Linked DNA regions of Caenorhabditis elegans. The protein of the gene in region 1 interacts with the protein of each later gene in a pairwise test. Each region holds a gene or a part of one and is shown in the gene's direction. Other genes may lie near its edges.

Evidence for each region. Proteins that work in one complex are often made in the same cells at the same time.
Region 2: the proteins of ZK945.6 (region 1) and ssp-31 interact in a two-hybrid assay, tested with the Caenorhabditis elegans proteins (one large-scale study listed by BioGRID).

Annotation. Positions count from the first base shown.
Region 1 is NC_003280.10:10,103,909-10,110,749, reverse strand, and holds ZK945.6 (Ovule protein), read left to right. Parts: upstream 1-3,779; 5' UTR 3,780-3,847; coding exon 3,848-3,878; intron 3,879-3,924; coding exon 3,925-4,032; intron 4,033-4,084; coding exon 4,085-4,252; intron 4,253-4,295; coding exon 4,296-4,639; 3' UTR 4,640-4,670; downstream 4,671-6,841. Other genes in the region: lov-1 (Location of vulva defective 1), read left to right, coding at 1-429, 473-847, 900-1,143, 1,202-1,471; ZK945.8 (PPP1R11/YPI1 family protein), read right to left, coding at 1,672-1,883, 1,931-2,048; ZK945.7 (uncharacterized protein), read left to right, coding at 2,346-2,484, 2,528-2,695, 2,743-3,120, 3,164-3,228; putative RING finger protein ZK945.4, read left to right, coding at 5,054-5,144, 5,193-5,484, 5,766-6,074, 6,643-6,841.
Region 2 is NC_003279.8:13,216,169-13,222,260, forward strand, and holds ssp-31 (Sperm-specific class P protein 31), read left to right. Parts: upstream 1-2,972; coding exon 2,973-3,296; downstream 3,297-6,092. Other genes in the region: ZK1225.4 (Cysteine proteinase), read right to left, coding at 1-38; ZK1225.5 (FSA_C domain-containing protein), read right to left, coding at 455-735, 789-925, 1,343-1,467, 1,517-1,648, 1,703-2,176, 2,221-2,279, 2,350-2,677.

The DNA of each region.
Region 1 (6,841 bases):
TTCAGGCCTACTGTATAGCTATTCAGGAGGTGGATATACTATCAGTATGTCTGGTACCCAAGCGGAAATCATCACTCTCTTCAATAAACTTGATTCGGAACGATGGATCGATGATCATACTCGAGCAGTCATCATTGAGTTCTCTGCATACAATGCTCAAATCAACTACTTTTCGGTGGTACAGTTGTTGGTGGAGATTCCAAAGTCAGGAATTTATCTTCCTAATAGTTGGGTTGAATCAGTAAGACTTATCAAATCAGAGGGAAGCGATGGAACTGTGGTCAAGTATTATGAGATGCTTTACATCTTTTTCTCAGTTCTCATATTTGTAAAAGAGATTGTGTTCTACTTGTATGGGCGGTACAAGGTGATAACAACAATGAAACCAACGAGAAATCCATTCAAAATTGTGTATCAGCTGGCACTGGGGTGGGTCTAATGAGAACTTCAGTTTCAAAAAGACATTTTATAGAAACTTCTCACCATGGAACTTCATGGACTTGATAGTTGGAGCTCTCGCTGTTGCATCGGTCCTAGCCTACACCATCCGCCAACGAACCACAAATAGAGCAATGGAAGATTTCAATGCAAACAATGGAAATTCGTACATTAATTTGACTGAACAGAGAAATTGGGAGATTGTATTCAGTTATTGTCTTGCCGGAGCCGTATTCTTCACTTCTTGTAAAATGATTCGAATCTTGAGATTCAACAGAAGAATTGGAGTATTAGCGGCTACACTGGATAACGCTCTCGGAGCTATTGTGTCATTTGGAATTGCTTTCCTGTTCTTCAGCATGACATTCAACTCTGTATTGTACGCAGTTTTAGGAAATAAAATGGGAGGGTGAGGATGAAAACTTAATTGAAAGAAATCAATTTTTAAAAATTGGTTCCAGATATCGGAGCTTAATGGCTACCTTTCAAACAGCATTGGCTGGAATGCTTGGAAAACTTGATGTTACCTCTATTCAACCGATTTCTCAATTTGCGTTTGTTGTGATCATGCTTTATATGATTGCCGGATCAAAGCTCGTCCTGCAACTTTACGTCACTATAATTATGTTCGAGTTCGAGGAAATTCGTAATGACAGTGAGAAGCAGACCAATGATTACGAAATAATCGATCACATAAAATACAAGGTATTTATTTTTCAAGCTCACTATTAGATGTTCTTTAATTTCTGTTATTTAATTTCAGACAAAACGTCGCTTGGGTCTTCTTGAACCAAAAGATTTTGCTCCAGTTTCAATTGCTGACACTCAAAAAGACTTCCGTCTATTCCACAGCGCTGTTGCCAAAGTCAATCTGCTTCATCATCGTGCCACCAGAATGCTCCAAACTCAAGGTCAATACCAAAACCAAACAGTCATCAACTACACACTCTCCTATGATCCTGTCTCTGCTATTCACGAAACTGGACCAAAGAGATTCCAGAAGTGGCGGCTAAACGATGTGGAGAAAGATTGATTTTTGAGGGCTACCTAATTTGGATATCAAGAATAAATAATTGTGTTAATAGTTTGTTTTTCAGTTTTTTTTTCATTTTTATGACCGCAGAAAAGTAATATTCAATACAAAAACATAAGAACAAAGGCATGATGGGTCATTTAGATTAATTTACAATAAAATCTACATAAATTTCCTAATAATTTTTAAATCTTCGAGTTTCAACAATGATCACATCCACAATTTCCCTTATCTTCATCTTTATCGCTACCATGTCCTCCTTGTGGCTTTTGCTTCTTCTCTGGAAGAGTATGTCCACGACAGTGCTCCGTCTCATGCTCCTCCGGCTCCCAAGTTGACGGATCATCCCAGACACGAGGCGGAGTGTAGATGCAACAGCAATTGGATTTGAGACGTCCCATGTGTTCGTTATCTAAAGTTTAAGTATTTTTCAAGACTTTTTAATATAAATTCACTCACCAATTACTCCCGCTCCCCAAGTGACACGTGGACGCTCAACTGGAGCTCTCAGGCGGAGCACAAGCTGCTCTCCTTCTTCGTTGGTTTGACAAGTTTCCGTTACGACGGGGGCTTGCATCGTACGACTGTGTAGTTGATGTACGAAATGAATAAAACTTTGAATTTTTTCCCTGGAATCGTGGACTTACACTTTTATTTATTTGACAATTTATATATATTTAAAATGCCATGATTCCACTATAAAAAGTTCAAATTTCAAAAAAATTTATAAATTTCAAAAAAAAAATTGAACTTTTAACGTGAACTTTTGAATTCCCCTTACCTCCCCCTTGCCACACTAACAATTTATTGCTACATACTCGTCCGACAACCTCAACCGTCGGATTAAACAATCTGCTCAATTGATTGGTTAGCTATGGCTTCCTCGTTCGACAACCAAATGGATCAGGATGGAATGTGCTCCGTGTACTCTGCTCAGCCATCGGAGACAAATTGCTCCATCAATGAGGTGCTTGCCAAAGAAATTATCGCTGTCAATGAGACGCCAGATGATCGTAAGTTTTTATTGTCTTTTTTTTGGGAATATTGAGTTTACAGAAGCTGATTCTTCGATCTACCCAATCCCAAAATCAGAAACAAATGTGTCAGCTAGCGAAGGGTTCCAGCCATGTCAAGATATCAATCAATTCAATTTGTCCGTTTACTCTGCTCCAAAATCCGAGACCCCAGTGACCATGAATGAGAAGTTCGAGCGGTGCAAAGACTGTAAGTTAACTGCAACAACTCTATCTTGAAAAACCAAAAATTTTCAGTGATGAACGTTCTTGACTACTCTGTCTACTCAATGCCACCATCAGAAGCAAATGTTACAATGAATGTTGCAAGCTTCTCGGAGTACACTGCCCTTGCCTCGGAGACCAACGTCACAATGGCTGATGTTCTCAAGAACGTTGCTCAGGATTTGGCGTCAGAGCACACTGCAAAATCAGCTCATCCAACATTCGACACCACCGCCTACGTAGAGCGCCTTCAAGCCGAGCTCGGGATTCCGGATAGCAAAGTGATTGGATTGGAGTGCAGCAATTTTTCGAATGCGAAGATCATTGATTCAATTGAATGCCTTCATCAGTTGGACAAATTCCAACCAATCCCGGTGGATTTCGATCAGAATCCTGATTTTGGAAAAACTGGTAAGAGTGAAGTTTATTTAAGAAATAATATTTTCAATTTCAGCCAAATCTGTGGAAAGCTACCTCTTGCGTTCATCCAATGCCAGTTCAATCCATCACGAGATCTGAAGAATCGGAACAAATTATTGAACTTGGTCTATAAAAAATGTCGAATCATTTTTGTTGTTGTCTATGCATTCGTAATTTCTTGGTTTTTTGTATAGCAAATTTTTTGATGACTATTACGATAGTTCATGGAAACGAGACTTGTGCCTGGCCGCCTTTTGCACACATGAAAGCGAGGCGGACAAAATGAGCCCCGTCATGGCTCCCGGGTTGAACACCTAACAAGACGGGAATTCTTCTAAAAAGAGTTGTCTTATCCCTATAAATCTGAAATTTGCATCAATTCTTCACCCGCCCTTGTTGCGATCTACCAGCCTCGTGGTTCTAAGTTACTTCTACCATGCTATTTAATGTTAACTGTACATAAAATGTGGTGCTTCTTCTCAATTTCCATTATTTCCTACTTTTTGAGAGAACTGTTCGAAAGGAGTTGCCTCTGTGAGCATCTATAAATTCTTTGTACAAGTTTTCACCAATCACGTGGCAACCGTGTTCTTTAAATTTTTATAAAATTAAATGTTTTCACGTCTTTCCTACTAATGCCTCAATGTTCATTTTCTTATATTCAAAATTTCATTTCAAAAAAATTTTCAAATCGATCACATCTCGAGAGATCATAATCATGGAGTGTTCTCAGGAAGATGTCGTCAATGGTAATTTTACTGAGTTTGTCATGCCGTCTGAACCGTAGAATTTCAGATTTCATTGCTCTCGAAAAGATTGGTTCAGAAGTGGATATCAATTTGGATGGAGTCATCAAAAGCAAGGAGTGTAGTAACACGAACGAAGCAGATATTATTAGTAACTGTGAGTTGCCTTTAAACGATTTCAGATGATCTTGAATCACCAGATTTTTCAGTGATAACCGCAATCGAAGAATCTTTGAGTTGTACATCGGTCTGCACAGCTGTATCATTGGAGACAGTGGCACAAAAGTTGGATGCCTATGCAGATCCTTCTTTGAATACTCAGATGTCTTTCAGTACAGCATCGGATTTGAGTTCTATGGAACAAGATTATGTTAAAGGTGGGATTCCGTCTCAATTAAATTTTAAAAAATTTATTTTCAGCTTCAGATGATCCTTTCGACCTCAATCATCAACCGTCGCCGCTCCAAGTCTGGCGTGATCAAGGCAAAATCACCGGATTTCAAATGATGTGTGATGATCAGAAGGTTACTGTAGTTGATTCTCTGGAGTGCTTAGCTCAATCGGAGCAACATTTGGAACCAGTTTACTTCGATCCACGTGTCAACCTTGCTATTCCGTGCCCGCCAGATGATTTTGAGATTCTTGAAGACTATGGTTCAACATCCAATGCATCAGTCAATTCGGATGACGCTTCAACCGCAGAACTTGGTCCGACGTCTGAAGAGTTTGAAGAATGGGTTCGGAAAATTGAACAGAACTATTGAATAGCTATTTGATAAAATACATTTTTTCTCATTGAAGATAATAGTTTTGCATATCTGACTCTGCGTCTCCAAAGTCTAAAACGAGTTGAAAACAACAACTGCCTAGGCCCCCTGTCGCCTCGCGTGTGCACATTATACTCTTTCTACTTTTGTTCCTCGCGCTCTCTTTTTCTAGTTTTCGAACACTCTCTGCATATCAAGAATATTCAAAGTGTTTTCTTTCTCTGTTTGATCTCCGGAAATTGCTCCAAATTTACACAAATTTGTGGTCAATTGGTGTCATCGCGCTGTTTCTTGTTTCGTATTCGTTTTTCGTATTTTAAACGAACATTTTCGTTTTCAACAACGACAATAACGAAATTTCCCATTCATTTCATACACTCGAATATTTTTTCTTCGTTTCCAGAACTTGCCATGAATATGCTCCGCTGCTTTCCGGAGTGTGGGATTTGCGGGCAGGAGTATTCAGAAGACGAAAAGCTCCTAATCCCTAGAATTTTGACTGGTACACCGTGTGTTTTGATTCTTAATTAAAAATTATTTTATCTTCCAGAATGTGGTCACACGATTTGTACAGGATGTGCAGGAAAAATAAAAGGACAGTCTTCGATAATCGCATGCCCATTTGATCGAATTGAGACGAGAATTTGGAAAAAAGATGTGACGAGACTCAAAAAGAATTTTAGTATTCTGGAAATCAAACAAGAGGTGAAAGATCGAAAGAACCGAGTAATTTCGGAAAAGAATGAGAAAAAGGAGAGGAATAAGAATGGAGTCTGTGATGAGAACACGAATCATCACGCTTCGAATTATTGTGAGACATGCGACGCCGATTTATGTGAAGAGTTAGTTGAAATATTATCAGTTTCACAAGATTTTGACATGGCTTTTTAAAGGCGCACTCATTTATTTAGATGAGTCTCGGCGCGCAAGAAAAAGTTTATGGTAGTTTTTTTTTCAATTTTTGCGGTCCAGAATAAATTTTAAAAAAAACTATGAAAATGAACGAGAGGGCCGCAAAGAAGCTACCATAAACGTTTTGCGCGACGAGACCCATATAAATAATCCCGTGCGCCTTTTGGAAGTCATTTTAAAATCTTGATCAGAAAATAATAAATATTTTTAGATGCTGGACGTGGATTCATTCTATATCCACACTAGCACATCATGAGAAAAAGATGATTTCAACTCCTGATTGTCAATTTCACCCAGGAAAAAGTATAAGTCTTGTGTGCATGAGAGACAGATGCAAGAAACGGCAGAATCGACTGATGTGCAGCGAATGTTTTTTGGACAAATGCTCGGATCATTTCGAGCACGAGCATAGCTCTCTACACTTGGAACTCCCGGAGCTCAGAAGGAACATCTGTTCGTCGTTGGCATTGTATCATGAAAAAGAGAAGAAGATATTGGCCAATATTGGAAAACTTAGAGAGTCAGTGTATACCTTTTTTCAATATCAATACTTATATATTAGTACAGTAGTGGTACTGTAGAGGTACTGTGGAATTATTGTAGGGTTACTGTAGATTAAGAAAATGGGTATTTTTCCTTTTGGGTTTGGAGTTAGTGATGGCTAATGTCTAGTTACTGTAGTGGTACTGTACTGTGGAATTATTGTAGGGTTACTGTAGTCCAGGAAAAACTTGAATTTTGGAAAAAGTACTCGGTTGGTAAATAGTTGGTTTCTCTTTTTTCTTTCGGAATATGCAAAAACTTGTAATTATTTTGAATTTTGCCATTTTGAAATATCCAAGTTTCTGGAATTTTTTTTGAAGCCAGATTACATTCTCAAAATTTTATTTGTTTTTAATTTTCCATGTGATAAATGTTTGACAGTAATAGCAAAACTTATTCCTGCCGAATACCTCTCAAAAAGCACAAACACCAATTTATTCCGAAGCTACAGTAACCCTACAGTACCACTACAGTACATATAGTAAAGTTCAAACTACAGAGCTTTATGAATACATAGTAAATGATTTATCAATATAACATTTCAGAATAATTGCCACATACTCATACGACGGAGAGCCGTTTTTCCAAAAAAAGAATGAGCTCCTGAGATTTCGACATTTTGAAATGGGAGAAATGGATCAAGCAATCAAAGTATTGGAGAACGAGGTGGTGAAAAGAGTCCGAGTCCTCGAGTATAAAATCTCCAACCAGAAGCTGGATCTCGATTGGCTGCAGAAAAATAAG
Region 2 (6,092 bases), on another chromosome or scaffold:
ATGATAAAAAACAGCAGCGCAAATTGAAGAAACTTCATGCCGGTTGAAAATCGGTATTGATTGATTTTTGAGAAAACTGGTTTTTAATCAAAATACAACGTTGCAGTTAAAGGTTCACGTATAATTTTTTGAAGATAATAAATTGGATTTTTTTCACTTTTCAATGTTTTTTTTTAATTTTCAAATGACACACAAAAAATTCAAAACAAATAGGTCTCTAGTTTTAAACTATCGCACCTATGGTCAGCCGCCTTATGACTGCCTGCCTACTGCACGCCTACCTGCTGTTGTACAGAGATGGTGTTCAGTTGATAGGGCGGAAAAAGGGTGTCTGATAGGGCGAGAAAATGTGCTCCAGTGACACATGATGGAAAGTCAATCCAATTCAAAGTTGGTTAAAACTTGGTGCCAAAAACATTCAACTAGTCAAAAAATCATTTATTCTATGGATTTCTTAATGAAGTGTAATAAAACGTTTTCTTTCTTTCCCATTTTTCGGACATCTCAGTATCATTGAAAAAATCGAAAAAGCTTGTAAATCACTATTCCATTCTAAGCCAAATGTCCATTGCGATTGGTGCACAAGTATTTCAGGTTGTGGTGTCCAAATGATGAATATGTACAACCATACTTTCTCCGAAATTTCTGAGAATTCACTGATTCCACCCAAGTCGTATCCTTCCATCCGTCCGTTTGTAGATTTGTTCAGCTCCCAGAATTTGTGCGTCAGATCCGCTGAAATAAATATTAAAAAAAACACTCCTTTGTAAGAATATGAGTTAGCTCACCAAAATTGTTAGCCTTCTCCATTGTCTCTCCATTGAGCCCTGCACAATTTCTAATTTCAAACTTCCGGCTAGTCAATGTTGTAAGAGCATCAACTGCTGTATACCACATCTCTGGGGCGTCAACCATCTTTTGAATTCTGAAATTACATGGGATTACTGTAAGGATACGGTAGATGCTCCAAATAGAGTTTGCACTAACAAAAATTGTAAAGGCGCGTGATTCTAGTGTACTTCATCAATTAGCAGAGCTTGATGTTTTGTCAAAACCTATTCATTTGAAACCCTTGACGCGAAATTCAAAATTCAAATTTCTGATAGTGAGAATTTCTTTGGCGGGAGTATTAAATAAATTTTTGCTGGGTAGGCACAAATAGTTTGCATAGTTGCTTTCAAGGGGACCTGCTTCCTTGCTGTCCACCCCCAAACATTTATTGTCACGCTAAAAGAGCACAGACAGGGGCCTAAATAGGCAAGGGATTCCAACAAGAAAACGTATCTGCCTATCATGATGACCTTAGTATTAGCTTCTACACAGCTGATAACATTTCACAAACCTTGCTCCAATAACCTGGTTAAAAGCGATTGCGTGCTTCTTCATCAAATCAATCTCTGGAACTGCAACTAATGGGCACATCACTTCGAACTTATCAATATTCCATTCTTTGTCGCCATAAACATTCTGAAGTTGTGTCAATTTTTATGGCTTTCTTTTTCCTTCAAACACGTACATATCTAACTTGAATCTTGAAGTTGAATTCCTCAACTGGGTTATCTATTAAAGTACCAATTTGAACTCTCATAGTTACTCTGAATACAAATCGATCGTACTCTCCACCAGTCAATTGCACCGCTGTGTGTTGCTTTTAAAAGGAAAATAAGAATGTTCTGTGAAACTTTATAGTTGTGATACTTACATCGCCTTTCACCGGATGATACATCTTCTGGAACCAGAGCCACCAATCGATAAAATTATACTTTCCGATTTTCTTCAACTCACTCCCGTGACACACTTGAATGTCGAGATCAGCAGATACACCGGTATAAGATAGCCAATTAAATGGGATTACAGACTCTTCTCTATCCATTGTGAATAGTTCATAGAAATGTTTGAATACTTTTTTCCTTGTATCAACTCTCTCTGGGTCAGTTTCATGAAGATCCAAAAATATATCAGTGTTTTCCAGATTCGTAACACCATACTCTGTACATGCTCCAACTTCTTCAATCCTTGTCAGTGTGTAGTTGCTGTATGGTTTTTCTCCGAGAAGTTCCATTTTAACAAGATAAGATATCTTTGAAGAGTACTCCCAAGTGGAATGTGCCATAAACGATACCAGGAATATATTGTCATTTATACTCTCCGTTGGAACAGGACTCCAGGAAACTTTCTGAAAAATAAAATGATATGTGAGTGTTTAAAATTACTGCCTACCTCTCCAGAATTTCTCCGGTACGTCCCTCGTTGTCGTTTCCAGAATTCAGCCATTTGATCTGGAATTCAATCTTTTTTTTAAATTCTGGACCAAAAACGGCAATACGCAATTGTAAAAGTTGAACTTACAGAAATTCAGCATTTCCATTCCACCGCATATCTTTCCCTCGAAGTTTATATCCATCAGACTATACAAAATATCAGCACTCTCTTGAAACTTATAATTGTGATTCGATGATTGTCTCAACAAGTGAAGAGCCACCAATTGAGCCGAATGATTTCTTGCAGCATCCACATCCTCCTGAGTCTTCCAATAAAACTTAAACCGTTGGATTAATCCATGTTCACTCAGCGAGAATCGTTTTCCAATTTTCTTGAAAATTTGTTGAGTCTTGTTCGATGTATCCGTAGTTGATATTCCAATAAGAAAGAACAGCGCAAGTTGAATAAATTTCATCTTTGTTGAAAAACTTGGTATTGTTTCATTTATTTGAAAATTGGATTTTTATCGAGATACAGTTTTCACGTAAATTGGTTGCAAAAAACTAGTTTATTTTTGTTTTACAATTAGAAGTATTTAAAATACATTTAAATAAACAAAATAACAATAAAATGAAAACGTAACCTCTCCTTAACTTCCTTATCAGTAAAGTTCATCAAAATGTTGATTTGTCCCCTTCCTTCTCCATATCCAATCATTCCCTTACATCTATTTGGTGATCAACTTTGTCTCCTCAAAAATAAGTCTACAAATGATCAACATCGATCCACCATCCGGCGACTACCCAGCTTCTGGTGGTTCATCAACTCACTACATTGTCTCCGAATCGGAATCTCGTTTGGCATTCAAAGTCAAGTCGTCCAACAATGAATCGTATCGTGTTCGCCCAGTCTATGGATTCGTTGATGCGAAGGGAAAGGCTAAGCTCGAAGTGAATCGTTTGGCTGGACCAGCGAAGGAGGACAAGCTTGTCATTCAATACGCCGAAGTTCCAGCTGATGAGACCGATCCGAAGGCTCCGTTTGCGGCTGGTGCTCAACAAGGAGAAGTCGTTGTCAAGATGGTTGCTAGCTAAGAAAGCTTACTTTATGGTACTTTTCATATGATAAAAATTTTTATGAGATTATTGATTTTAAATAAAATCATTTTTGTCGGTGTGGCGGGGTTTATAGCTTGTGTGCAAGTGAAAAGCTGTTAAAAATCGTAAATGCGCCTTGCCGGCGGTAGGCGGTAAGCGAACATGCCTACCTTCAATGGGAAACTCAATTGTCAGTAGTTGAGCTATTTTCAAAATGTTTTGTCGGGGACTTGTTTCAAATTTTGAGCGTTTTCAGAATTATATAACAAATTTTTTCTAGGAGACAAAAGCTTCCTGTTCAATCAAAAAACTGAGCTAAAAGTTTCTGAGACAAGTCTACTACGAAACATGAAAAAAAATTCTGTAGAATCGAATGTAATTCTATAATTGGAGTCTTCTTGTTTTTTGAGTTCGGTTTGACCAAAAACAGATGCACCCGATGAATCAGTTAAAGCTGAGTTTTGATTGATTGAAGTTTGAGGAGGCTTTATATTAGGAAAGACGTACCCATATTTTGTATAAAATTGAGTATTTCTATTCGAATCCCGATTACTCACAAAAAACAAAAAAATTTGTCACTTGGTAGAATTGAACCAGTTACCAAAATTTCTACAATCATACGCACTAACCACTCGGCCATGCGGGAGACACCTCAACACAGGTAAAGCGCCACAAGTTATTGGCAGCTGAATGGCAGGTTAAAAGCCGCCAACAGGTTAGTGTCAGCCATACCTGTGCGGCATTCGGAATTTTTCGGCATAACGGCATAACGGCATATGCCGCCAAAAATTTTTTTCGGCATATCGGCATATGCCGATATGCCGTCCATTTTTCGTTTCGGCATAACGGCATTTTCGGCATATGCCGTGAATTTCAAAATCGGCATTTCGGCATATGCCGCGCTCCAAAAACCGGCATTATGCCGGCATTCGGCATTCGGCATTTCGGCATTTTGAACTATTGTTTTCCAGTTACAAAAAATCAACATGATTTAAATGTTTTCAATCAAACTTGCATATTTTTTATATCATTACCAATATCCAAAAAATAGTGTTCGTCTGATTTTGGTATGTGACGTAACACTACAGGTATGCACAATTTTTGGCTTTTGACAAGATATTGAGTTGGGGTTACTGGTTAGATGTTTTTAGGTTTCTATAGGAGTACTTTAATACGCCCAATTGCTATTAAACCCCCTCCACTTGAGCTGTATAGGGCATCTGCAAACTTTTTTGGGAAACTAATATTGACATCGGATGCAGCATACCAAAAAACCTCTGTATCTACAATTTTATACTCACATTTCAAAATTGAACGCAAAAGAGCAAAAAGTTGAAATGTCGACTGTCCAAATGTTATGGGACACCCTGACTAGGAATCCGTCAGAAGGTGCCCATTCGACTTACATATTAGATCTGTTTCATTCGATCTCATATGTAAGTCCAATGGGCACCTTCTGACGGATCATTAGTGAGATTTTCGAGAATTTCACGCAAAATTCTCTTTTTTTTCAAAATATCATTTTAATAATGGAGTACTTTGGTAGTGTACTTTTTGTTTTTTATATCATGGAAATTACTGAAAACATGCAAAAAAAAATTTCAAGTATGTTAAAGGGGGAGTAGAGTTTGTGGGTATTTTGCTTAAATAGACTAAAAATGGTCCAAAACCACCGAATTTCCTAATGAGACTTCACAGAAAATTTTTTATGGCCGGTCAAATTTTCGAAAAAAAAGAGCCAAATTTTGCTAAAATCTGAAATTTCGCACACTTTTCTTTGTCACAGCCGCATTGAGACAACTTTTAGGCCGATAGGCATCCAAAAATGATCAATATTGGATGCCTATCGCTAAAAGTTGTCTCAATCAACGAAATTCCGCGAGATAAATTACCAAAATAAGGATTAAAGGGTGATAATTTCAGAAAAACTAAAATTCAGCGGCTATGGCAAAGAAAAGTGTGCGAAATTTCAGATTTTAGCAAAATTTGGCTCTTTTTTTTCGAAAATTTGACCGGACATAAAAAATTTTTGGAAATTTTTGTGAAGTCTCATTAGGAAATTCGGTGGTTTTGGACCAGTTTTAGTCTATTTACGCAAAATATTCACAAACATTACTCCCCCTTTAATGTGCACGCCTTGAAACATTTTTTGGTGCATTTTCAGACAATTTTCGAGTCATCATAAAGCCAAAATTGTTGCAGAAAGTTTCTAAATGCTCAAGCAAAAAGCTTCAAAAAATCTCAAAAATGGAACAATCTGCGCAAAAACCTTACTATTTGCAAGATCTTTATGTTTCATCGGATACACGAAAATTATGAAAAAATGGTTTTTGACAAAAAAAACCAGCCAAAAATGCAGAAAAAAAACGGCATAATGCCGTCATAATGCCATTATGCCGTTATGCCGGTCATTTTATTTTTCGGCATAACGGCATTTTCGGCATATGCCGTGAATTTTAAAATCGGCATAACGGCATATGCCGTGCTCCAAAAACCGGCATTATGCCGGCATCGGCATATGTCGAATGCCGAATGCCGCACAGGTATGGTGTCAGCTTAGTATCAGGCTAAAAGTCGCTGTCAGGCTAAGAGCAGGTTAGTGTCAGCTTAGTGATTTTCGCTCAAATTTTCAGAAAAGCGCGTCAGGTGAACGGCGAGTAAGTGTCAGGTGATGGGTCAGATGAGTGAAAATAAAAGTTTCAGAAACTGAGTCAAAGTTCATAAAAATGAGTTTTATGTTCATTCGTGTAAATTTCTGAAAAAAATTATTCCCAGAAATACAGTTTCGGGGTT